Linked DNA regions of Lepisosteus oculatus. Each later gene encodes a partner of the first gene's protein in a complex. Links are inferred from orthologs where the notes say so. Each region holds a gene or a part of one and is shown on either strand. Other genes may lie near its edges. The genes, in order: trappc8 and trappc12.

Evidence for each region.
Region 2: trappc8 (region 1) and trappc12 share a complex: the UniProt entries of both Homo sapiens proteins name them as parts of the multisubunit TRAPP (transport protein particle) complex. The link is inferred for Lepisosteus oculatus from reciprocal best matches to the Homo sapiens genes TRAPPC8 and TRAPPC12.

The regions. Positions count from the first base shown.
Region 1 is NC_090701.1:42,898,630-42,910,917, forward strand, and holds the start of trappc8 (trafficking protein particle complex subunit 8), read left to right. Parts: upstream 1-7,165; 5' UTR 7,166-7,345; coding exon 7,346-7,502; intron 7,503-12,288. Other genes in the region: E3 ubiquitin-protein ligase RNF138-like, read right to left, coding at 467-620, 3,767-3,906. UniProt on the Homo sapiens protein: Plays a role in endoplasmic reticulum to Golgi apparatus trafficking at a very early stage. Maintains together with TBC1D14 the cycling pool of ATG9 required for initiation of autophagy. Involved in collagen secretion.
Region 2 is NC_090697.1:14,817,201-14,829,470, reverse strand, and holds the start of trappc12 (trafficking protein particle complex subunit 12), read left to right. Parts: upstream 1-6,355; 5' UTR 6,356-6,378; intron 6,379-9,954; coding exon of another isoform or gene 9,955-10,038; intron 10,039-12,269; coding exon of another isoform or gene 12,270-12,270. Other genes in the region: eipr1 (EARP-interacting protein homolog), read right to left, coding at 378-477, 3,747-3,903, 5,775-5,907, 9,955-10,038, 12,270-12,270. UniProt on the Homo sapiens protein: Component of the TRAPP complex, which is involved in endoplasmic reticulum to Golgi apparatus trafficking at a very early stage.

The DNA.
Region 1 (12,288 bases):
CTTTCGCTTTAAAAAACACTCAAAATCTAAAAGTCCGTTCCTCACTTGCCATCTGAGTTTCACTTTCATTTAAAACATTTTTGCACAATGTACTTTCCATCGTTGTTTTTTTTTTAATATAGGCATATCTTTTGAAAAGATCTGCAGTAATAAACTGCAGATCTGCAGTACTAAACTGTAGTATACCATGATGGTCAATCCATTGTGGAACAGCTGTTTGGGAACAGAAAAGTACCGGTAATTTTATACCCATCTAAAAGTTTCAGTTTGCGTTTGCAAACGGGTCAGTTAGAGTGTTTTTATTTTTTGTTTTCTATTTTTAATACAAAATTGCGAAAATTATTCTCTCCTTTGCGATGTCTCAAACTACAGTTTTATTCCTGGGGGGGTACGCATACTGCTGACCTGCAGTCAATTTCAGTGAGCACCCTTTCAGCAACAGGAAGTAAATAAACACAGTATTTACACAACTTCCGCAGGCTCTGCATCGCCCCCTCCTCGTCCTCATCCGGCGGGCCACGTCGGTGGCTCTCTTCTCGTCTTCTGACACGGGCCCTCGGCACATGGGGCAGTGCGGCCCGCAAGCCCTCACCGCCGCCACGAAGCAGTGCTTACAGAACCTGCAGGGAGAGATCCCACACACATGACACACTCATGGTCGGGAGGCAGAGGAGTCACAGCACGGCTGTGCTCAGGCCCTTCAGACAGGGACACACACATCGATACACATTATACAGGGACACACACATCGACACACATTATACAGGGACACACACATCAACACACATTATACAGGGACACACACATCGACACACATTATACAGGGACACACACATTGACACACATTATACAGGGACACACACATCGACACACATTATACAGGGACACACACATCGACACATTATACAGGGACACACACATCGACACACATTATACAGGGACACACACATTGACACACATTATACAGGGACACACACATCGACACACAATATACAGGGACACACACATCGACACACATTATACAGGAACACACACATTGATACACATTATACAGGGACACAGACATTGATACACATTATACAGGGACACACACATCGACACACATTATACAGGGACATACACATCGACACATAATACAGGGACACACACATCGACACACATTAGACAGGGACACACACATCGAATCACATTATACAGGGACACACACATCGACACACAATATACAGGGACACACACATCGACACACATTATACAGGGACACACACATCGACACACATTATACAGGGACACACACATCAATACACATTATACAGGGACACACACATCGACACACATTATACAGGGACATACACATCGACACACATAATACAGGGACACACACATCGATACACATTAGACAGGGACATACACATCGACACACATTATACAGGGACATACACATCAACACACATAATACAGGGACACACACATCGATACACATTATACAGGGACACACACATCGACACACATTATACAGGGACATACACATCGACACACATAATACAGGGACACACACATCGATACACATTAGACAGGGACATACACATCAATACACATTATACAGGGACACACACATCGACACACATTATACAGGGACATACACATCGACACATAATACAGGGACACACACATCGATACACATTATACAGGGACACAGACATTGATACACATTAGACAGGGACACACACATTGACACACATTATACAGGGACACACACATCGACACACATTATACAGGGACACACACATCGATACACATTTGACAAGGACATACACATCAATACACATTATACAGGGACACAGACATTGATACACATTAGACATGGACACACACATCAATACACATTATACGCATTATACAGGGACACACATCAATACACATTATACAGGGACACAGACATTGATACCCATTGATATAGAGTCACACACATCGATACACATTATATAGGGACACAGACATTGATACACATTGAGTCAGAGACACACACATTGATACACATTGATGCAGGGTCACACACAGTGATACACATTGATACAGAGTCACACACATTGATACACATTGATGCAGGGTCACAGACAGTGATACACATTGATTCAGGGTCACAGACAGTGATACAGGGACACACACATTGATGCAGGGTCACACACATTGATACACAGAATTTGATACTGTAAACTAACATGGCATTGACTGAGAAATAAATGCATACTTGAAAATACTTTTCCTGCTGGATATTATTATTTAACTAGGGCAGCTTACCATGTTTATGAAGTTGTATATTAAGTGTAAATACAAAAGGCAATTAAAGAGAAGATCTCAGTTAAGGGTGGCACAGTGGTTAGCATTGCTGTCTGGAGTATGCATGATCTCTCCATGTTCTCATGGGTTTCCTCCTGCAGTCCACGGACATGCTGGTGGGTCACCTGGCTTCTGGGAAAGATGGCCCTGTGTGTGTGTGTGTGTGTGTGTGTGTGCCCTGCGACCCCGAATTGGATGAAATGGTTAGTAACGGAACAGACGGATGCTTAAGAAATGGACGGATGGATTTCAAGACAGTATAAAGGAAATGAAAAAATGAAATGAAAATGAAAACAAGCACACCAATGTGGGAAAGGGCTCTGCATGCAAAATACAACCCATACATGAATGAAGTGGGAAGCACCAGGACAAACAGGGCGGAGAGGTGGCTCTGTGGCTAAGGATCCGTGCCTGTGGCTGGAGGGTTGCCGGCTCAAATCCTGCAGCCGGCAGAGGAAACCTACTCTATTGGGCCCCTGAGCAAGGGCCTTAACCCCAACTACTCCAGGGGCACTGTACAATGTTTAACCTGCACTCTGACCCCAAGCTTCTCTCCCTGTCTGTGTGTCTCATGGAGAGCAAGCTGGGGTATGTGAAAAGACAAATTCCTAATGCAAGAAATTATAAAGGGTTAATAAAGTGATGCTTTTATTATTATTAAATGTGTGTACACCCCGGTGGTGTGGGTACAAAGCCATTATGTGGAGGCTCTGGTGGAGTGAGGACCCTGTTGTCTAGCAAGGGAACGGCAGGAGCAGTTTGAGAGATGTAGGAGGAAGCCGACAGGATGCACTGAAAGGAGCTCAGGACTGGGCAGTCCTTTGTTCTGCTGGTGGCTCATCCCTCCACTGAGGAGCAAGGACTAAGGGATAAGGAACCGACTCTAGAAGTGGCAGAACGGAGAGGGCTAATAGGCAATTCAACCCTCATCTCCTGCACCAGCCCACTGGCTAATCCCATAGGATCTCCCTGGCCTGGTTTTTAAATCTGCACTGCTACATCCAGTTTCACCCTTGAGGTGTTGTGTGCAGGGTCAGTGAGCTGCTCATCCGGGAGAGAGTCACAGCAGTGGGCAGCAACGCAGGACGGAGAGCAAACACAGTCTGTGCAGGACACAAGGGGTCTGCCCAGCTGAGTCAACGTGTCATTTGGAGGTGAAAAGGAACCGGAGCACCCAGGACTGAACGCAGGACCCCGAAGCCGTGAGGAAACATCGCTGAAAGCCACGCCCCCCACACTCTCCCCTCCCAGCTGTTTCGTGAAGGGGTGCAGATACTGCAGTGTTCAAATCTACAAGCTCACCTTCCACATACAGTAACGATTATCATTAGCTGGGGTCAGCTCTTGCACAATGCAGAAAAGCAAAATAGGACGTCCATCAAATGTTAAATTCAGGGGCTCAGTGAAAAGATCAGTCCATTTTACTCACACGTGTTTGCAGGTTTTGGTCCTGATGGGTGTTTTGAAGACTTCTTGGCATATTGGACAGTCAAAATCCCCCGAGAGATCCAGATCGCTGAATGGTTCTTCTGCGGGCGGCCTGGCTCCTTCTTCTTCAGCGGATCCCATCGTGAGGTGGGAAGGAAGCTCTGCGATCTATTTTTATGTTTCATTCACAGAAGGGTAATTAGCTTAATAGCATTTAAGCTTTAAAGACAAGTACAGGTGTAAACTGCTTAATTTTCAATTTATACAAACGCAAAGTCTCATAATATTTTAAAAGTACTCCACAGACATCTGAGGCACAAATACTCAGCCTTATAAATGTGTGCATAATTTAAGTGCTAATTCATCCTTATATATTACCATAATAATTGTTTTCTGTAGTATTCTTAGGTAAACATTCCATGCAAAAATTCAATACAGCATAATTTGCATAAGTATAGCTTTGAAATTGTTTTAAAATTGCTTTAAAATGTCAAATTGCATTGAATTCGTATCTGTGTGAGTGCTCACCGGGTATTAAACAGGATGCTGTGAAATAGAAAATAAAGTGGAAGTGAACCAAATCCGTTGCTTTTAGTGAGAAATAAATATTTACGGGACTTTCCAGCTTTGTCATGCTTGCACATTTCCTGCGTCACACACATTTAAAGGAAAAAGGCAAACAAAAAGTGAAAGTTTCTTTTTCGTATGATGCCCACGATACCCCTCAAGCAAGAAAACAACAAACGTTTAAGGTAGCTGTTGGGCACCTACTTAAAACTGAATATACAGCAGGTCCAAATTTACTTTGCGTGTGAGAGCACGGTATGCCAAAACGCCCGTTAAACTGCTATCTATCTCCAGTGATGCTGAAGGAATGTTTTTAAAACACATAAATCCCCTACATTCCAGGAAGCCACAAAAGACGTATTTGAAAATTCAGTTAACAGAATATTTAACAGCTATCTATAAATTGTAGCTGTGTACTGTAGCCTTGTGTCTTGCATCTAATTTTTATATATAGAGATGACAAAAAATACCTTCAGAATACCTTATCTCATCAGAATAGCTTTAGTACTGGTCAGGCTGAATTAGTTGTTCACAAGTGGCTAAGAGCTTGACAAACAACTTTAATTATTCTTAATAGATATCCTTCTGTCAAGTCATTGACATATACAGGTAGTGTCAATGCTTGTGTTTAAAGCTGTACAATATCATCTTTCACCTGCTGTACAGATACATACTGTACATGGTCATATATAAACTTGATAAGCAGGTATAGCTAGTATCACTCATTAAATGCACCATGGGGAAATATTGAGCTTTTCAGAGAACATTAAAATAAATGTTTTGCATATGAAATGAATGGTAGAAATAAACATGTTCTTTTAAAACCTACAACACATGCATACTGTACTTTATTTACTTGAACTTTACTGCACAGTCAGAAAAAGAAACAACATAATAAGAAGAGAACATTCTTAACGTCAGCTAAACACAAACAGTAGATGTTATGAAAATAGTCAGAAACTCAGACACAGTAACAATGCCATTTTCATTTTATCGCTTTGAAGTGAGGAGCCTTAGTAAAAATGCACATTACCAAGTTGTAAGAAGAGCTGGTCGAGGCAGGATTCGCTTGTGCTGCAGTCCACAAAGCATTTAAAATGTGCTGATGCTGTTGTACCATAAAACACGAGCCAACAAGCAACATTTTCACTTTCGGTATTACAGAACAGGAAGCTGAATCTCATATGTTTCCATCCAATCTTATATTTATAAAGCCTGTGCTTGTTTCCTGCTTAGTGCAGATCTCATTAAAGGGAAGATACATACTAATTAAATATTTATTTATCAGTGTTGTTTTCAAATAGGGAGTCAGATTTGAAAGCAGGGAATGACTACAAAACTCTGGGACAGCTTTTTTAGCTGGATGTTTTATAAAACATCACAAATCCAAAAGATGTTCTTCGGAGACAGATTCAGATTCACACTGCCAGGGCTTTCTTGAGAGGTGGGAATGTGACGTCATGCCCAAAATGTCTTGTACAACGAGCTGGAAACGTGTGTGGCGTCTAGGGCTCGTACACCAGACATATGCTTGTCCAGGATCTGCAAGAAGAAAAAAGGACTGACTCCCACAACACAGCCTCAGCATCCCGGGGAAAAGTATGCTTCACAGAGGTGGAGTGTGTGTTGTTTCCAGCGATGCCCTGCGAGCCTTTATCAGCACACGCTGTGTTGATCACCCATGATAATGACAAATTGTTATTCAGCATAATGAAACAACCTATGTCATGCCTGTTTAACAGTGCTGTATAGAACTGTCTGACTGAGGGGTGATCTCGAGGCCAGACTGAAACAAGGAGAATTTATTATAAATACCTTTGACCAATGATGGTTACTCCTGATATCATTAAATTGTTGTCTCAAACAAATGTGCTGTTTCTGTAGTTTTCAGTGTGAACTCATTTGTCAGATTATCCCTCTGAACACAGTTTGTGCTAGGAGAAGCAGAAGAACTTCTGTATACTCATAAAAACGAAGTCTCAAAGTTTAATCAGTTTTGGTTCCCTTCTTACACTTTTTTTGCAAGCTGACTACAGTGGTAGTGGGATTTGTGGTGTGCTCTTGTGTTTGTACAACTGTATTTAGAGAGTAAAGTTCCTTTAATTTCAAACTGGTAGAGTGGAGGACAGCAGTGAAACAGCTGTTGACTATCCTTGGGTCACTGGTTCAACTCTGGCTTGAATGATTTTTTTGGGAAGTATTATAATAGAGAACAGGGGACACGTCTTTACACAAAGGGTGGTGAGTGTGGGTCAATCTACCCAGCCATGATGTTGAAGCCAGTACCCTGGCTTCTTTTAAGAAACGTCTGGAGGAGCTCCATGGATCAATTCACTGCCAAAGGGCTAAATTAGCTGAATGACCTCCTCTCGTCTGTAACACGCTCGTTGCTCGGGTTTGTTTTTATATTAACTTTGTTTCTCTGACCGAGAGAAGAAAATAAAATGGAAACCTAACCTCATGTCGGATTTAGAAATAATCAAAATAATTTAAGATACACATAGCTAAGCAGTGTTTTCATGTGTGATACACATTAGACTTTGTACTCCACATTTCCAATTTTTCAAGCTTTGAAACGTTACCAGTATCGAGGTATATATTTATCGCTAGGAAGGCAAAATATCGAAATTGCGTCGTCTAATTTGAATTTGCGACTTGTACTGTACGACATCACACATCACAGCACATATCTTTTCGGATTGCAACAACAAAACGTCCCCTTCTATACACGAAGTATCCCCGCAGCCAGCGCACAGGAAATACCTGGTGCACAGCTGTCTGCGGCTCGTGACCTGCGGGTGAGCGCGATCACATGACCGCCCCGGTGCTCCACGGGAATGAAATCGATCAGCAGGCAGCTGGAGAATCCAACATGGCTGCTCTCGGCTGTCAGTAGGGGAGTTGTTTTCAACTCTGGGGCTAGTGGTTAACTTTGAAAGAACAACAAAAGACAAATCTTTCCGCGGCTTGGATTTTTGTTCCGGACGTAGCGACCGAGATCGCAGTGTCCGCCATGGCCCAGTGTCTCCAGTCCGTGCAGGAGTTTATTCAGGACTCGTTCGTGCCCATGGTGGCCGTCTTGTGCAGCGAAGATGCGGAGAAAGTGACTCGGAAAAACAACCTGAATTTCTCAGAGCTGGTGAGGCCTTTCTGTCGGCTCACCTCGGAAGGTTTGTGTTTTTTTTTTGTTTTAACTTCCATGCAATGTGGGTAGTTTCGTTTCGTGGGGATGTCTGTGTGTACTGCGATACCCTTGTTCTGTCGGCGCTTGACAAATGACAGGCAGGGCTGGTTATAATTCAATATTTAAAGGGGAGATAATTCGGTGCACCAGGGCCTTCTCGGGTTTTAAGTTCCGTCTCCTTGAGGCGGTTCATTAATATCTCAGTAGTTTGGCATTATTGTCGAAGAGTCAAAATGGAGGTACACTTAGTTTTATGTGGCGTTTTCTCTCCGTGGAGCAGGCCGAAAGAGATGTTCGGTGAGGGATACACTTTCATTACACAGATCCGCATAGCGTCTTCCCTAATGTTAAGGGTTAAGGCGCTGTGTTTGGGGGAAATGTACAGTGGGTCACCACGCCTGACTGGATATAGAATCAGTAACCTACATTTTAGGCGGCGCAGCCGAGTGTATTTTTGCGTGACGGCTGTGAGTGAAGCCGTGTCCCGCGAATGCCGCACACCTTTGCGTGTTTCCCGAAAGTTAGCGGATGCCGCCTGAGGGAAAGGATCGGTCCCACTGACCCCTTCAGATGACAGCAGCGAGTAGAAGTGGTTAATAAACTGCTGTTGCTCTGGGCAGGTAATATCAGCGGAGCCGTAGATGGTGACTGAAGAAGTTCAGTTCTCACGGCTCTGCGGGCTGTCCGGGGAGAGCAGTCCTGTTCACGTCTAGAGAAGCGGTGCTGAGGCGTGGTGTTCGTGTTGGACTCTTCATTTCGACAAGAACGGTCATTCATAACAAGACTGAGAAAGCATCACGTTGCCAGCATCCAATGTATATGTGCTTTATGCCACATTATGTGCACTGTAAAATATGCTTTTAGTATTTCCTTCTTTTCAGTCGTGCATCGGCTACATATCTCTTACATTACACAGGCCGGGAAATGTAAGCTTTACCATGTTTTTTGCATCATCAGACTTTTTCACGACAATGTTTTCTGTATTAAAAATCACTAAAATAGGTTTGGAACTTTCTGAATAAATCATTTAATTATTTCGTGTTAAAAATCACGCCAACTACTGTAAAACCCCCTTTCTAGGATGGGAATGATCAGGACCACTATACGTGTGTTCTCCTACACTGTTTATATATTGTATATATCCGATATATGAACGCAGGTGTCTGGAAACTCTTCCCTGTCATCAGATTATACAGTTGAAAATGAAATCTGTTATTTATTTATTTTTTAATTTGGAATCGCCAATTCTTTAATTCTTTGCTATCCTGACCTGATTTGGGCCGGCCAGTTGCATGTGACTTACAGCTCAGCCCTGTACGGCAGCCCTGTATGGCTGGAGTGCCAGGGAGGCTGCAAGTGGGCGGGGCCGCTCCGCCGGTTTGTACCCCATTGCTGGCTGAGCCACCGGCCCCCGTCATGCACAGCCCCTCTGCATCTAAGTATGGACCCCCTTAGAACTCATGACAGGCGGTAAATGGTTAAACGGTATAATCTTTAGAAAGGAACAAGTAATAGGTTTATTCCATGCTGAAAAAAAGAAGAAAGAGAACACAACGTTTCGGCCGAGGAGCCTTCTTCAGGTGTGACACCTGACACCTGAAGAAGGCTCCACGGCCGAAACGTTGTGTTCTCTTTCTTCTTTTTTTCAGCGTGGAATAAACCTATTACTTGTTCCTTTGCAGCCTACGCATGCTGACGCAGCTACCCACCTAATCTTTAGAAAGATGCACTTATAAGTCTTATGCACTTGTTGTGATTCACTGGTTTATACCACTAATATTGAATGTCCTTCCATCCGTCTGCTAACTGTTTTATATCCAGTACAGGGTCGTGGGGGGACCGGAGCCTATCCCCTCAAGCAACGGGTGCAAGGTGGGGTACACCGTGGACAGGACGTCAGTCCGTTGCTGGGCACACAGCAACAGACACTCGCAGCAGGGCAGCATTTTTCCCAGAAGCCAGTTAATCTGCTGTTATGTCTTTCGGCTGTGGGAGGGATACTGGAGCACCTGGAGGAAACCCACACAAACACGGGGAGAACTGACAAATTCCAGGCAGATAGTAGCACCGGGGCCCTTGTCTCTGCAAGGCAGCGATACGAGCCGCTGCGGCCGTTGGGTGCTGCCCAATACTGAACAATCCTCACCGTCTCAGATGCTTTCTAAATTGTCATCTACTTGAGAAAGTTTTTGTTGAATCTGGCTAAGGCCAGGGTTTGTTCTGGGGTTGAGTTCATAAAATGCCATGTAAATTTGAGTAACGTATTTAGTTGCCAGGAGCTTCATGGGGAAAATAAAAGAGCAAAAGAGAAAGTCTTGGCATTTTTTAAAATTAGCCGTAGGTCATCAACACAAGACCTAAAGTCTTAGTCTGTCACTGACATGGTGCTCTTAGTAGAGAGCAGTTTGAGGCAGCAGTTAAACTAGCTAAAACAGAGAATTTATTCCAGGTTGCACCCAGAGGAGAGTTGGAGCTTTAAGCCTTCATTGACTTATGGCTCAGTGCTTTCTAGGTACATACCGCCCAGTTCTCCTATGAATACGGGGGAGAACAATTGTCCACAGGATTTGCATCAAGTTCCTCCACTGGTCACAGTCCGCTAGTGACATAACCCAGGATCACAGAGCTCAGCCTGCACTAGTGTGAGCATCTTTTTTCCAATTGAGCCTCTTGAGAGGCCCCAGGAATTTACCTTTTAAAGGTTCACCATAAGCAATGCACCCCACCACCATATTGTTTTTTTGGATGTGATTCTGTTGTATGTGGAGGCATCACAGTGCAGTGCTGCCTCATGGCACTAGGGTCCCGTGTTCCTGATCTGGGGTACTGTCAATGTCGAGTTTTCCTCCAGTTGCTCTGGTTATCTCCACTAGTCCAAAGACATGCTTGTAGGTTAATTGGCTTTTGGGTAAATTGCCCCTGGTGTGCGTGCATGTGTGTGTTTGTTTGTCTCTGTCTGCCCTGGAATGGACAGGGGTTTATCCCCATTTGCTGTTGGGATTGGTTCCTCCTCCACTGTGACCCTGAATCAGATGAAGCAGTTAGACAATAGTTGGATATATTGAACGTGCTGTAGTCTTTATCTCTGTGTTCTTTCTGCTTGTGTTGTCATAGATTTTCTTGGAAAAAAAAACATGTTCACACTAAATGAGGAGACCTGCTAACAAAAGTGTTAGTGGCAAAGTGGACTGTTACATGGTTATTTACTTCCTTTCTTGCTTGTAATCAGTACTAGGACATGTAGTGCCACATTTTCCATTAGCAGTTGTTGCCCAATAGCTTGGTAACCTGATTCCATGGAAACCAAGCTGGACCATCGTTGATATATCCCATTACAATACCGAATGGCAAACCAGATGATAGGAACATCTGGATATGTTGGTAAAATCACGCTGACGTGAAAGGAATTAGGATGAAACATTGTCTTATGAAAGGCTAACCGTCTCAAAAGAAAATACAGCATCGTAAATCCTTTGTTTAAATGTTATTGCAAAGATATTACAATAAAACCTGGGATGCTAAAGCTTATTAGCAATCACAACTGCACCCTTAAGGCATTCTCTTCCACAACATTATTAGCAATGTGTTGTCTTGTGTTAGCCCATTTCCTTTCAGCAGCGGTGACTCAGGATGCAAAGTGTTTCTGTTCTTTTTTTCATGTAGTCAGGTTGCCCACAAGCACCTCTGACTTAGATTTTTCTTCACCCAATGAAATTTGTAGGGCCAGATATTAAGTCAAATACACTTTCTCCGATCAGAAGAGAGCTGTCTGTACTGAGAGTGCTTCAGCACTTTATTGGTGGGAATGCTTGGCATCTACAGAATGAGAGGGAAACGGCTAAATCCTAGTATGTAAAAAAGTATTCTTCTACCTCTGAAGTAGATGTCTACTTTACAAAAAGCATTAAACTCTCAAACTATGCTGTAGGTGAAAATGATCACACGGTCGTAGGTTTTGACATTTTGGTTAAATTCATGTAGCATTTGAGGTAGCAACTGGGATTTTATTATGTGATTCGAGATGCATGTTAAGTATTACGACTTTAGATTATCTCCTGCACGCATTTGTCCCGTGTTCTGTGGGTTTCAGGTTCCCTGCTAATAACATCATAGTACATTATGTGAAGGTAGCATCTGATAGTAGGTGGCACAGTGGTGAGCGTTTCTGCCTCGTAGTGTCGGGGCCTTGAGTTCCATCCCTGGGGTGCTGTCTGTGTGGAGTTTGTATGTTCTCAACGTGGGTTTCCTCCAGGTGCCCCAGTTTCCTCCCACAGTCCACAAACATACTTGGCTTCTGGGGAAATTGTCCCTGGTGTGAGTGTGTGCCCTGCGACAGACTGGTCTGCCCAGGGTGTACCCCGCCTTGTGCTTGTTGGCTCCAGCTCCCCTGCGACCTTGAATTTGATAGAGCTGTTGAAAAAAGGCTGGATGGATCTGACAGCCAGTCTGTTAGTAATCAGCTATGTGATTGAATTATTTTAAAAATGGGCAGGGCACATTATGACACATTGTTGCAAAATAACATAAGTGGCTTGCATCTTATATTATTGTTGTTTGGATTTATGTTGGTGTTGCTCACCATGCGGTCTGGCTATATTTTACTGAAGTAAAAGCAAGTTTTGTGTGGGAGCCTGATGATTAGCAGTAGTAATCAAAACGAAGTTTTCAAATCTTTATTTGTGAATTGAAAAGAAATTATTCATGTAAGCAAACCCAATAATTTATGTTTACTCTTCCTACTTAATGACAGGAGATCCCCATTGCTTGTCAAT
Region 2 (12,270 bases), on another chromosome or scaffold:
TTCAGTAAAAGTGTTTATGTACCATACACTCTGAATTTTGATGTGAGAGGGAACATTTTCTGATCTTCTTAAAAATGAACCATTCACTAATACTAAAATGCAAAGAAATAATACCCTGTAGCTGTAATAAACTCATGAAGGTATGAACACCTTATTCATTATAAGCTTTATTAATTAATAGTTGTTATCCCATAGAATTATTATATCACAGCTTATCTGCAGTGCATGATATACATTATTTTCTTAATGAACATCTGAGCATGCAGAGCCTAATGATGCTTTTAACGGTAGTATCGGTAAATGACTGTAATAATTTGGAAACAACTGAATAATAAATCTTTAAAGAAGCAATACAATCTCAAGATCTTTTGTCTTACCGTAGCCTTGGTGCAGTTTTCCTGCAAGTCCCAAAGCAAAAGATGATTATCTGCTAGTGAAATCAACCTTTTGCCATCACCCATGGGTTCCCAGAGAACACTGTAAAACATTTAAAAGGTTAACACGCCTGTTGACCTGTTCAAGACATTTAAAAACTTGTACAGTCATTTCAGCAGTTGTGTTTTGTAAAATTATTTTAACCCTATTCACAAGCACAGATAAATTAAGGTTTATTTGAAGGTAGACAACATTTGAGTCTAATTTAATTTAACTACTTTATGACCACCATTTTAATTTAATGGCCAATGGTGTGCTACGAGAAGATAAAGGAAACCCATTTTCAAAAGGATCCCAGCCAAGTACTGTATGTAATTCACATCGGCTGCTTGAGAAAAAAAAAATCCTAATGTTATAAATCTAACGCCAAAGGCAGAACAGTTTTTACAACTCATGTAAGGTGGCAAAAGTCATTGCCCTGCCCTGCGTCCTAGTCGTTCAAATAGCGTGGGTAGTGCCCACATATACTCCTCTTGCATTCTATTTCATGCAAAAAAAAAAACATTTTGGATAACATTTACTCAGTACCAAAATAACCAATTACTATGAAAGGGGCTTCAAATGAAGGTAAATCCAAGGCTTACAATTAGAGAACAGTCTCTCATACTTCTACATGTTATACAAACCTGTTCATGTAATTGTCCAATGATTTTGTCCCCATTGTAGAGTTATTCTTAAAAATGAGTGGGAAAAGCCAAAGGACTTATCTACCAAACTAGTACAAGGAAGGCAGCTGTAACATTTGTTTCTCAACTCATCTCCCTCAGTGCACATCAATCCTGCCCTTGAGAAACCACACGCTTAGGAGGAGAGACAGCCCTTCAGTCTCTGTGACCATCAATCTCTACTTCTCACCTTGGGAGTGCTTTCAAGGCAGGTCAATTGTCTCAAATACTGTGCCAAACAAATACGTGAAAAAAGTCTAGCCTTCACATCAGATTTTAAACAATTGAATCTTTTTTTTTTATTTCTTCACTCTTATGCCCACTGTATAGATTTATATATTTTATGATTTTCATTTAACTCTCTCCTGTAACAGTACCTGCAGCTACACAATCTTGCTGCTTTTAGATTAAATGACTTGTGACACTGACCCCCCCAAAGTCACACACACCACTCTGCCTTTACAGACCATGGATACTACAGTTCTGTTGTTGTTGCTACTTAAAATACTATTCTTCCTTAAAGGAGCATCTTTTTTTATAGCACCAAGCCAATACACAGTCCATTGTGGGTCATCTGATTTGAGATCGAATACACCCCAGTTAGTGAAAAAAACATCATATCCATATCTGTTAATCATTTGCAATGGATGTGCCTATTGAATAAGAACTCGCCTCCTTGATGATAAAAGACAGAATATTGTTTTTTCATTCCCTTCCAGTTTGTCCCACCAATGTTGTGTCATTGCTTCTCCTTGCCAGCCACAGCTGAGATAAGTCAAATGGGGGAGGAGATGTAACTTGGTTGTATTCGATGACAAGCTTTGTCTGAGATGGGGACTGTGCCATGAGCTCCCTCTTCTGACAAAAAAGATCAGCTGGTTAATCACCATGTATTAGGCTGAGGCACATACTGTAGCTAATGTACACAACATTAGCTTCTTCTTTGATAACCAGACCACAGGAAGAAGTTCCTGATCATTTAGAAAACCAATTCCAAGAAAATGGGTCATATGACTGCAAAGTAAACAAAATGAACCTAAAGATCAGGATGTTCATCTCAAGTTGTTGATGGCTATATGGCATTATGTTTTTCCTCCCCCTGAGTTTTGTATTACCTATTTAAACTTTACAATCACTGACTTCAATTAGCCATTGAAACCTCACTTTTCCCAAGTCTTTAGGTGTTAATTATTTTAAGAGCCCTATAAAACCAGCAGGACTGTGGTCTGGCAGCAGGAAACAATGACTGCTGTAGACAACATCTAAAAAAAAAAGCATCATATTGGAGTTAACTGAACAGCCTAAATACAGAAGGTGGTAAAGACAATGGGATCAAAGCCTTCATACAGAAACGCTTTTGCTGAGTATTAGAAAAGAGTAAACAAGACAAGCATGCAGCAGGCATTTTAAACATTATTCCTTACCTGAAAGACTACTGAGTTATTTACAATCTAAAAGGTATCCTACATGTAAAATTCTTCAGGGAAGTGGAAAGCAAAGAAAGATTAGCCATGAAGCAAGAAGAGGGCTGTACAAGAAACTTCACATAACATAGTAAAAAAGTAGGAAAATTGTGGTGTTATTACCTGTCCTCTTAAACTGAGGCTTTGTGAATTGATAAATTAGAGAAGAACACTATATCTGAATACACAACATTGAGGTTCTTGTCCTGATAATATGACCATGGCCAATGTAGAATGAGTGGTACTACATTTAAGTGATAACTATAAAACAGGATGTTTGTTCTTTATTCACAGAGAATACGTTGAAATCCAAAATACTTGTGTGAAAGAGTTTTATTTTATTTTTGATTACATTATGACAGAACATCTACAAAGATGCTGCCAAGTACAAATACATTAAAATGCCAGTATAATACAACTTTACCGGTTAAAACAGAATTGAAATCATTCTTGTTTTATTCTTTAAAATAACACATATGCACAGGGTGAAACACTGCACACATTAAAAGACTGAGCTGCACTTTAATTGCAAAACGGAAGGTTTGCTTGTGCAGTATTAAAGTATTAAAGGTGATCAGGAATGAGCTACCAGTCTGTATAATTGTTTCGGAGGGCTTTATAATCATTATATTTTTTATCCCTCTGGATTTGCATAAAACAGCCAAAATTGAACAACATTAATGAACTCCTAACTATTTAACTTAAACTTTGCTGACTAAGAACTGTTATATCCCTTAAGAACCCTTTCTGACTGGTATCTGCCAAGGGCTTGCCTAATGTACTACTGTGTGTGATATAAAGCAAGCCAAAGTGGTGAGATGAACCTTTTTCAAAGAACAATAGGTGCTAAAACCTGCATCATTCTATACTGCAAGCTCTTGTGAGCATAAATTCATACACAACATGCTATATAGAAAAATTATTTTAAAAATACAGGTAACCGCTGTGTATGTTTTAGAGACACACAAACCAATTAAACATTTAATGTTCCCTAAATATATTACAGACTAAAAATTAGCCAAGCAGGCGAGACAAGGATCCTGTGCCAGCCTAGCTCTGCAGTAACTAGGTCAGTCGATAGTTTACTGTGGAAAACAAATGCTGGAAAACACTGGTGAATAACACATTCAACCCTGGCCTACCCCACTGTAAAAAAGGTTTAAATCAATACTTAGGATCCTACCAGGCCATATTGCCGTGGGCTGTGTTGTCAAGGTGACAGAGCAGCTCTAGGGTCTGTGGGTTGCTTGATGAATCATCAGGGGATTCATGACTGCCTGATTCCAATTCCTTCGGCATCCTCCACACAGCTGCACATGTTACCACTTTACTGTCTGAAGCTAAGCAACAGAGACCAATGTTAGCACAGCATCTCAGTTATGACAGCCACTACCCTATTCAGCAGTTAGAACAAAACAAAATACATTAAGACAATGACCTCTATCTACGGTCAGTGTCTCATTCAACATTATTTTCTGAATAGCTTGAATAATTACCAGTTAATTATACTTATGTGCATGCTTTAATAATGCAGCTGACGCGTGCTTTAACTGATGTATGTCAATAATACCTATGTATTATTTAACAGAAAACTAAACTGCTTGCTGAGGCACCAAAATGTTCGAATGCCAAAAGAAGTGATATGCTACAATTATTTTCTGCTGCAATTTCTGCAAAAGAATGATAGTAATTTTTATTCATGAAGCGCCTTTCCAAACCCAAGAATGCTGAAAAGCATGATTTGTCAATAGAGTTGTCAATATCAGATAAAAATACAAAAAATAAAAGTACATCAAAAGTTTGTTTTCAAAATGCAATTTAAGTAACAGTTCCTGGAATAGTTTGTATATGAAGATACATAACAAAAGGGGAGAATCAAGACTGCACCTTGAAGACAAGCACATATTGTTCATGCTTCATGAAATCAATAAATCTGTTTGTACAGTTTTTGAAGATCGTATTTTGGAGACCCTTGATTTCATATTTCAATACGTTGATCCAACATGTTTCAGCTTCCATTAAAACACATGGCTGAATAATAAGTACTGTAGGTGCAGTAAATAATATCACCAAGACTAGCTTTCAAATCACTCTAGCAATTGTACACTACAGAAATATTTTAAACATGGATGCGCTATACAGACAACATTTTAAACTATGTCATCAGTAATGTTGCACACAAAAACAATTGAATAATAAGAAACAAGAGGAGACCTTTCAGCACATTTATTTTTTTCCAAATATAGTTTTTCACTAGGTACAAGACATGTCAGAAACAGTGAATCCTAGGGTAAGACATCTAGAATTAAAAATATATGTAAGTCAGCTGGCTTCATATCATATCAAGTACGAAAACAATCCACAGCTGACACAAATGGGAACAACTTTGGCCAAGGAGTTTGGTAAAGAGTGCCCCCAGAGGCGAACTTTTACGTTTCATTCATTAAAATGCCTGTATCTAAATGTGTGCCAACATTTACATGAAAATAACATTGGCTTTAACCAAATAAACCTTGAGGAACTCAGAACTTAACATCTCTACTGCTTTTAAAGTATTTAAGTGCCTTTTCTAACCACAGAGTATGTCTATACATGTGTATTTCCAACTGTGTTTTAGTGCCTTTTTTACAACAAATAAGATTTTCACTTGAATGCAGGGGTCTTTCTTATCTAATGTAAGGGAGATAATGCAGGAAAATACAATAGTTTACTTTCACAGGCTAAATGTTTTTTTGGCCATTTGAACCATTGAGCCTGGTGGAAGAAGACACTTAATTCACCTTCTTTAGCTTTAGATACTTCATTAGATTGATCACCTTCATAATTCATTTTTTTCTGTTCAGCCAGGCACGTGCATGCATCAAGCTTTTAATCAATTAAATATATAACTGGAGACAAATGTGGTCACACTCTCATCCAAACGTACAAATTGAAACCTGTCATATTCCTACTGATAGGATAGTTATAAACCAGGATTAGCTACAGTCTTCAGCCTTGTAGACTCTAATTTAATGTTTAATAGTTTCTTCATGTTCATTTATTTTTTAATTGCCTTGAGGCGACAATGGACATACAGAGTGCCAAAATTCAAGACTGTGACTGAGTTCTTTTACCAGCAATGCCTGCAAAGGATAGCTAGGAAAAAGGTCTGGCAGGGTGGCAAGCATGGACTGAGAAAAAAATTCTATTAAAAAAAGAAATGCTTACTTACTTTTGTTGTAACAGGTTGACAACACACTTTTATCTGCAGGACTTGTGCTTATATGCCATATTTCTCCAACTTGGTGGAGGAGAACATTCTTATTAATGATATTATTTTCATCATCAAAGTCAATGATGTGAATCTGCAAAAATAAAAATTCGTTAGTTAGGACGTGTCTTCCTTCAGCACCATTCTAAAGGCTTGCTTCATGAGATGACGAAATACCTCTGATACTGTGGTCTGACATTTTTGAGCTGACATAATTTTGTACCTCTTTTAAACAATACAAGTTCACACTTCTGAGCTGATGCTACATTTAAATAAATTTTAAAAATGACCAGTGGCATACAAAAGCATGTGAAAGGGTGGTAGGTTACTTCAGATACGATGACAGTATTTGTCTCCATATTTCCCAGAAGGCAATGCGAATGATCTGTCATCCTCTGTCACCAACTGGGGAAAGACACTGGTTGGGTAACATTTAAAAGCCAGAAAGCAGAGGCTTCCAGATAGCTCCTGAACACTGCTAGTTAGCAGAGTCACTGTTATGTGCAGCAGTGGGAAAAGGAAGTATGAAGACAAGCAATCAACAAGCCTGCAGATGTGCTTATTGGTGAGAGTTTTGAAAAGTTTTTCTTTTTGGAAACAAATTGGTGAAAGATTTTGGTTTTGTGAAGCCAGTAAGCGGCTAAGCTGCTCAGCTACTTATAGAGAAAGAAACAAAAGAAGTTAAGCTAGAGCTCAAACAGATCTAGGCTTCTGTTTTTAAATTTTGTTTGTGTTGTACTAATAGTAATAAGGTGTGAACTCTTTTTACACAGCTATGTGCTGAAGTATTATTTTCATGTGCTAAGGTGCCTGAGTCATACTACCTAAAACACATCTTTCACAACCATAAAGTCAAGTAGTTAGTTGACTCCACTAGTACCTCTACTGCAGATCCTCCTAAAACTCCCACATATATAGTATATAGTCAGAATAACCAGTATCATCATTTTACATAGTTTTAAACTGTCATCCTAGAAGCTGTACATAGCACTTGCACATGAACAAAATAGGCCAAGAAAGAAATATTAGAAGTCTAGTGACATCATAAAAAAGCACTTATATGCACTTAAAAGAGATGTATTTCTGTATGTATTCAAAATAACCATAATCCGACCCTGACTGGTTCACAATTCTGGAGACAGAAGACAGCACTTTGTCATAAATAAGAAAGGACAAAGGAATTTGAAACCACAGCCAAAAACTGAATGAATAATTGAATCACAAAATTTAATGGTGCTATTAATCTAATGTTTGGACACAGCTTAATCGGGTTCTGAAACTACATGTGTTCTTGTGTGAACTACATGTGTGACTATTCATTGGTTTCATACTGAAGAGTGTTTCAGGATTAACACAAAGCTATTCTCATGCTCTGATCTGTGTAAAAGAATTACCTGAAAGATACCTGTTGGGAAAAATAGATGTTAGACATTTTAATGAGATGTTGTTTCAGTATGGCACAAGGAATATTAATTGGTTGCACCTGGCATTAATTCCAGACATTCATCTCTTCTGGACAAGTTTTATGGGGAAGTTTGCATCAATGAACAAGGCCCTGACACCTCTTCAGACAGTTGAAAGGCAGAGGAAACCATTAACCTTGGACTGGACCACACTAAACAAAAATTATTACGCCAAGTTATAATTTTATGGAGCAGAGCTCTACAGATAAATTTAGATCACTGGGCAGTATAATTGGAGAGAAAAAAAGAACATGTAACAGGGCATTAGGTGAATTGGTCCAATGGACAAACCCCAGATATGATTTATGCTATTTTATATATGTGATGCAGAATGAGTCATCCCACTCAGACGACTTGGCCTCTTTTCCATCAATTTTAAACATCTTGAAAAAACTAATGACCTGGACATCAACTTGTGGGACCTCTGTGAGATTTTTAAGACCAAGATTATTCTAAGTTATATGTCAAAAATATATAACTCGCATCAATGCAAAATATATATATATATATTTTTATATACTTCATGGTTTTTTAGTCATACAGTGCTGCTGTGATAAGCGTCGATATTCCAGGCTATCCCAGATAAAGCTGCAATCAGCAGGCGGAAGATAAAAGGTAAATTGGTCTGGCATGCAATGAAAGAAGTGTGACAAAAATACTGCACCATACCTTTCCAATGTGCTTGCGAGGAGTGATTTGGGTTATTATAGCCTAAGGGATTGAGCGCTAAAGCTGTCAGTTATGTATGTAGCAGCAGAAGCATGTAACTACCACCCACTTCCTGCTAGGCTAAGGATAATCCTTTTAATTTACAGTAGATAAACACTGTGATAAACATGAAAAATATAAACCCATTTTAGTCAGTTCTATTACTTAAAAACACTGAAAATTCCATTTTATTCTAGCTCTTTAAAATTTTGAACAAAAGGCTAAAAATGTGAAAAATAAACAGCAGAGATAAAAAATAGCCATTACAGAAACATAAAAAAATATGTCTTGTAACTAACATATACACATAAGCTCCTTTTAGTTATAAACTACAAGTATTTAGATCCATTACAGGTATAAGAAACTGCATAAATACAGTTTTTCTTTTGTTGTGAATGAAGTGTAAGTAAAAAATAACAACTGATATTTTCACATAAAAATAATAAATTATTAATAGGGTCTTGATTTCTTCCTTACTAATCTTCAAACATATTCTTTTAACTTATTCCTCCAGTGCCAATAAATTAATATAGCCTCTTCTTTCTTTATTTATTAAGCAATCATCCCATTGTGTAACCTTACGTAATTACTACAACGTAAATGCATAAGCGTATAGAATAACAGTGATGTACAGTATATGGCTACTGGCACTTAAACATGTGCCTGTTCAATTCAATAGCGTCAAAATGAATCCAGCAAAACTACATTTTGCAGGTTCATGTATACAGTACATGTTTAACAGGATAAAAAATGCTGAAATCTCAAACAGTGTAAAGCAAAACAAAAATAAGAAAGCAAACATAATTATCATTACCATATGGTTTCCCACTTTCCTGTCATAGATGAATAAAACTGAATACCTGCTCATGCAAATAAACTCTTATTTTAGCACCAATGGAATCGGTGACAACAAATAAGTGATACTGTTTAATCTTTCATTTTATACAGGGAAATTATTTTTCCATTTCATTAAAAAAATAATCCAAATACATTCCACTGCTGATTTCTGGATATGTGTTTTGGGTTGAATATCCTGACTGCCTTGAGAAATTTGTGAACTTTCTGAATGAAATGTGCATTTTTTAATTGCAGATTATTTTTCAATAGTCAGATTAATAGCAATTTCACTGAAGCTCTTGACACACAATTTTTTGTGTTGTCTGTACTTTTAAAATTGAAGATTTATGGTTTTATACTGTACTTTGCCTTTGTTGTGCCAATGCTCAGTGTGAAATTATTAATTCATCCATCTTAGTATAGATTTTTTAATTTTACAATTAAACCAGTGTAATAGAACAGGCATTTGACCAGCAACTCTATCATCTGTTACAATCGGAGAGATCAGAGTTTCCAAACCTTGGGAATTTCTTTCAACATGTTTTCAGTTAAAGTCCATGAATTCTTTAAACTCGAGAAGACCACTGACCTTGTAGCAGAATGTACAAACTGATGCCTGTGATATCCCTATAAGTTAGTTGATTTAATTCAGCCAGTTTCTATTGATTAAAAACAAATTTAAGTATCTGAAAATGTTTTGTTCGAAAATTCAATCACACTTATAATATTACTATGTACATAAAATTTCATCTTAGAAAAACATCAATATTCTTATTAACACAAAGAGTCAACCTCATACTGAATAAAATCTACAAGTAACATTTTGAAATACTACAATATTTAAAATTTCAGCTAAACCTTTACGTATAATGTATGTATAATACTTTTACAAATCACCAAAAGACTCAAAGTTGTAAAGTATGCAGTGGATTATATAAAAGTTATTACTAAGACTGCAGAGAGGGATTGGTGCCATAGACTACCAAAATATTCTAAAAATAAAAAAGTGGTTGAAACTTACTAGGGAGGTCTGCTGCAGTCATGAGTCATCCAAGAGGAAATGTCACTCTTACTGTATTCGTATTAACCCCCCCATCCTTTATTCATTCCTCATTCCATAAGTACATACTCACCTGATTGTCAAATTTAAGAGACTGAGTACCAACTAGAAAGCGAATTGCATCTGTTTCTGCTGTCTGGGCTGTTAAAGCACGAGCCTGAAAAAAACGAATTCCCAACAACAGGTTTAATGCTCAATATTTCAGCGTGTCATCCTAAAACAAAGGTTCTTAGTTAATGTTGCAGATACTGTAACTGAGAATGACGGACAGAAAATCTGTAACTACAGGTAAATGCTAGAAAACTACAAAGAAACGTTAAGAATTTTGTTTAAGATAAAGATGGAAAAAAACTGAAAAGATTTGGACAATACAAAACGTTTTATCCTTATTTGGCCTTCAAGGCTGCCAAAATATTTGCTACCAAAGGTGTTGCACTTGTGTATTTTACACAATGTAAAATAATTTAAATAACTGGGACTTTAATGTTAAGGGTATTTCACACATACAGTAATTGGAGTTTAAATCTGTCAGGTGCTGAGGACAGAACTGGACCAAAGCAGCTTTTAAAACAAGCAAAGAGTGGGTTGCTCAACACATAAAGTTTGAGCAAATGATTTATATGACAGTGGCACATTAACTATTCTGCTGGCGTACTTAGCTGTATTCATTAACAAATAAATTTACGCTAATAAGGATTAATGTCTTGTAATGGGTGTCTGAAGAAGGAACTATTAAACTGAATCTTCACAAGACCTGAACACAACCTTTAAGATTTTTCTGCCTCCTCAAATAGAGCACTTACATAAACATTTTTAGGTGTCCCACTTGTAGTGCTACAGTACATTCGGAATGCACAGATATGCCCAACAGCTTACAAATATCAATAATGCCTCACCTTGTTCTTCCTGTACGGCTATGGCCATGTAAGTCACACAGAAGATCAAGCATCAAGTAACTAATCACACTAAGGACTGCACCTAACCCAATCTCGATAAAAAGCCCTCAACATTTTGACTAATTTCATACCCACTGCAAGACGACAGCACATCAGAATTTCGACACACTTGACAGCAGCTTTGTTCACCCAGGAAGGCTTACATCTGCATCACGGAGACATGCTAACTTGTTCAGTTCAAAATTGTCATGCTGATGTCATGGACATCCAGTGCTGGCTAAATTGTCCCTTTTCTCCAGGGCTCTTCGTGGAGGACTAGGATCCTATCCAAAGACAGAGCAATCATGTACTCCTGCTTGCCATGACACTTATGAGGCTGAGCCATTGGCAGTGGATGGATGGACGGATATCAAAGAATATCTTGAAAGAGTCGATCTGATGCAGGAACATGCAAGATTCTTCACTATTCCTTTTCAATCCCAGTTATCAGTGATGTACTGTAATTGCTGTACCACAACCAAGATTTTACCTATTCACACACACACGGCTTCCTTTTAAATGGAATCTTTATTATCATTAACTAGAATAAAGATTCATTAACAACACTCACAAATCTCACATCAGGCATTCCACTACGTCGCTTAATTGATTTTAAATCTAAATCTAAAATTCTAAATAATTCTAAAAAGTTCTAAATACTTAAGTCCAGTAAACTTAACTACTGTTTTTAGCATCCGTTTACATAATGCTACAATCAGTATTTAATTATTAAGAAAGTAACGACATATCATATGGTATGACTTTGCATACTGAAGAGCTTAATATCAAAGAAATAAACACATGTATAACATCTCCAATCGAGAAGCGAGTGTTCCACAGGACATCATTAACTAAAAATTCAACAGCATACAGAAGCTCTCCTGCCCATTAAATGGAGAGAGATCTTGCAAGGAAGATAGGCACTGATAGGCACTATAATGGAATGCCATTCAAAACAGCACACACCTTCGAATGAATATAGAAATATTTGGTTCTTTGGTTGCAAGAAATGTGAAGCTTTCTAACAGCTTATCTTAATGGATTTTACGATTTGACTAGGTAACACATTGGTTGCTTTTATGTAACCTACAGTAATAAATTAACTAAGACTAAGTCTTGCCTTGAAAAATTATCACGTGCAAAGTAATACGAAGATCATTTGTTACAGTATATTGTCATATGCGGTATAATGCCTGTGAAAAATACCCCCCTTATCGTAATGGACTCTAATTCGATACGTAAAAATGAATCTAGGAAAGCAAGAAATGTACAGCAACTGCATCCCTTCATTGGAATTCTAGTGACTATAGAACAAAAAACGTTCTGCATTCTACATATAAAATATGTTTTGCATTCTGAGTAAAATGTATCTCATCACTTTTAAATACATTATTATGTGCAAGGACTATTTATTAGTTATACACATTTCAGGAAACGTTTTATCTGTACGTACC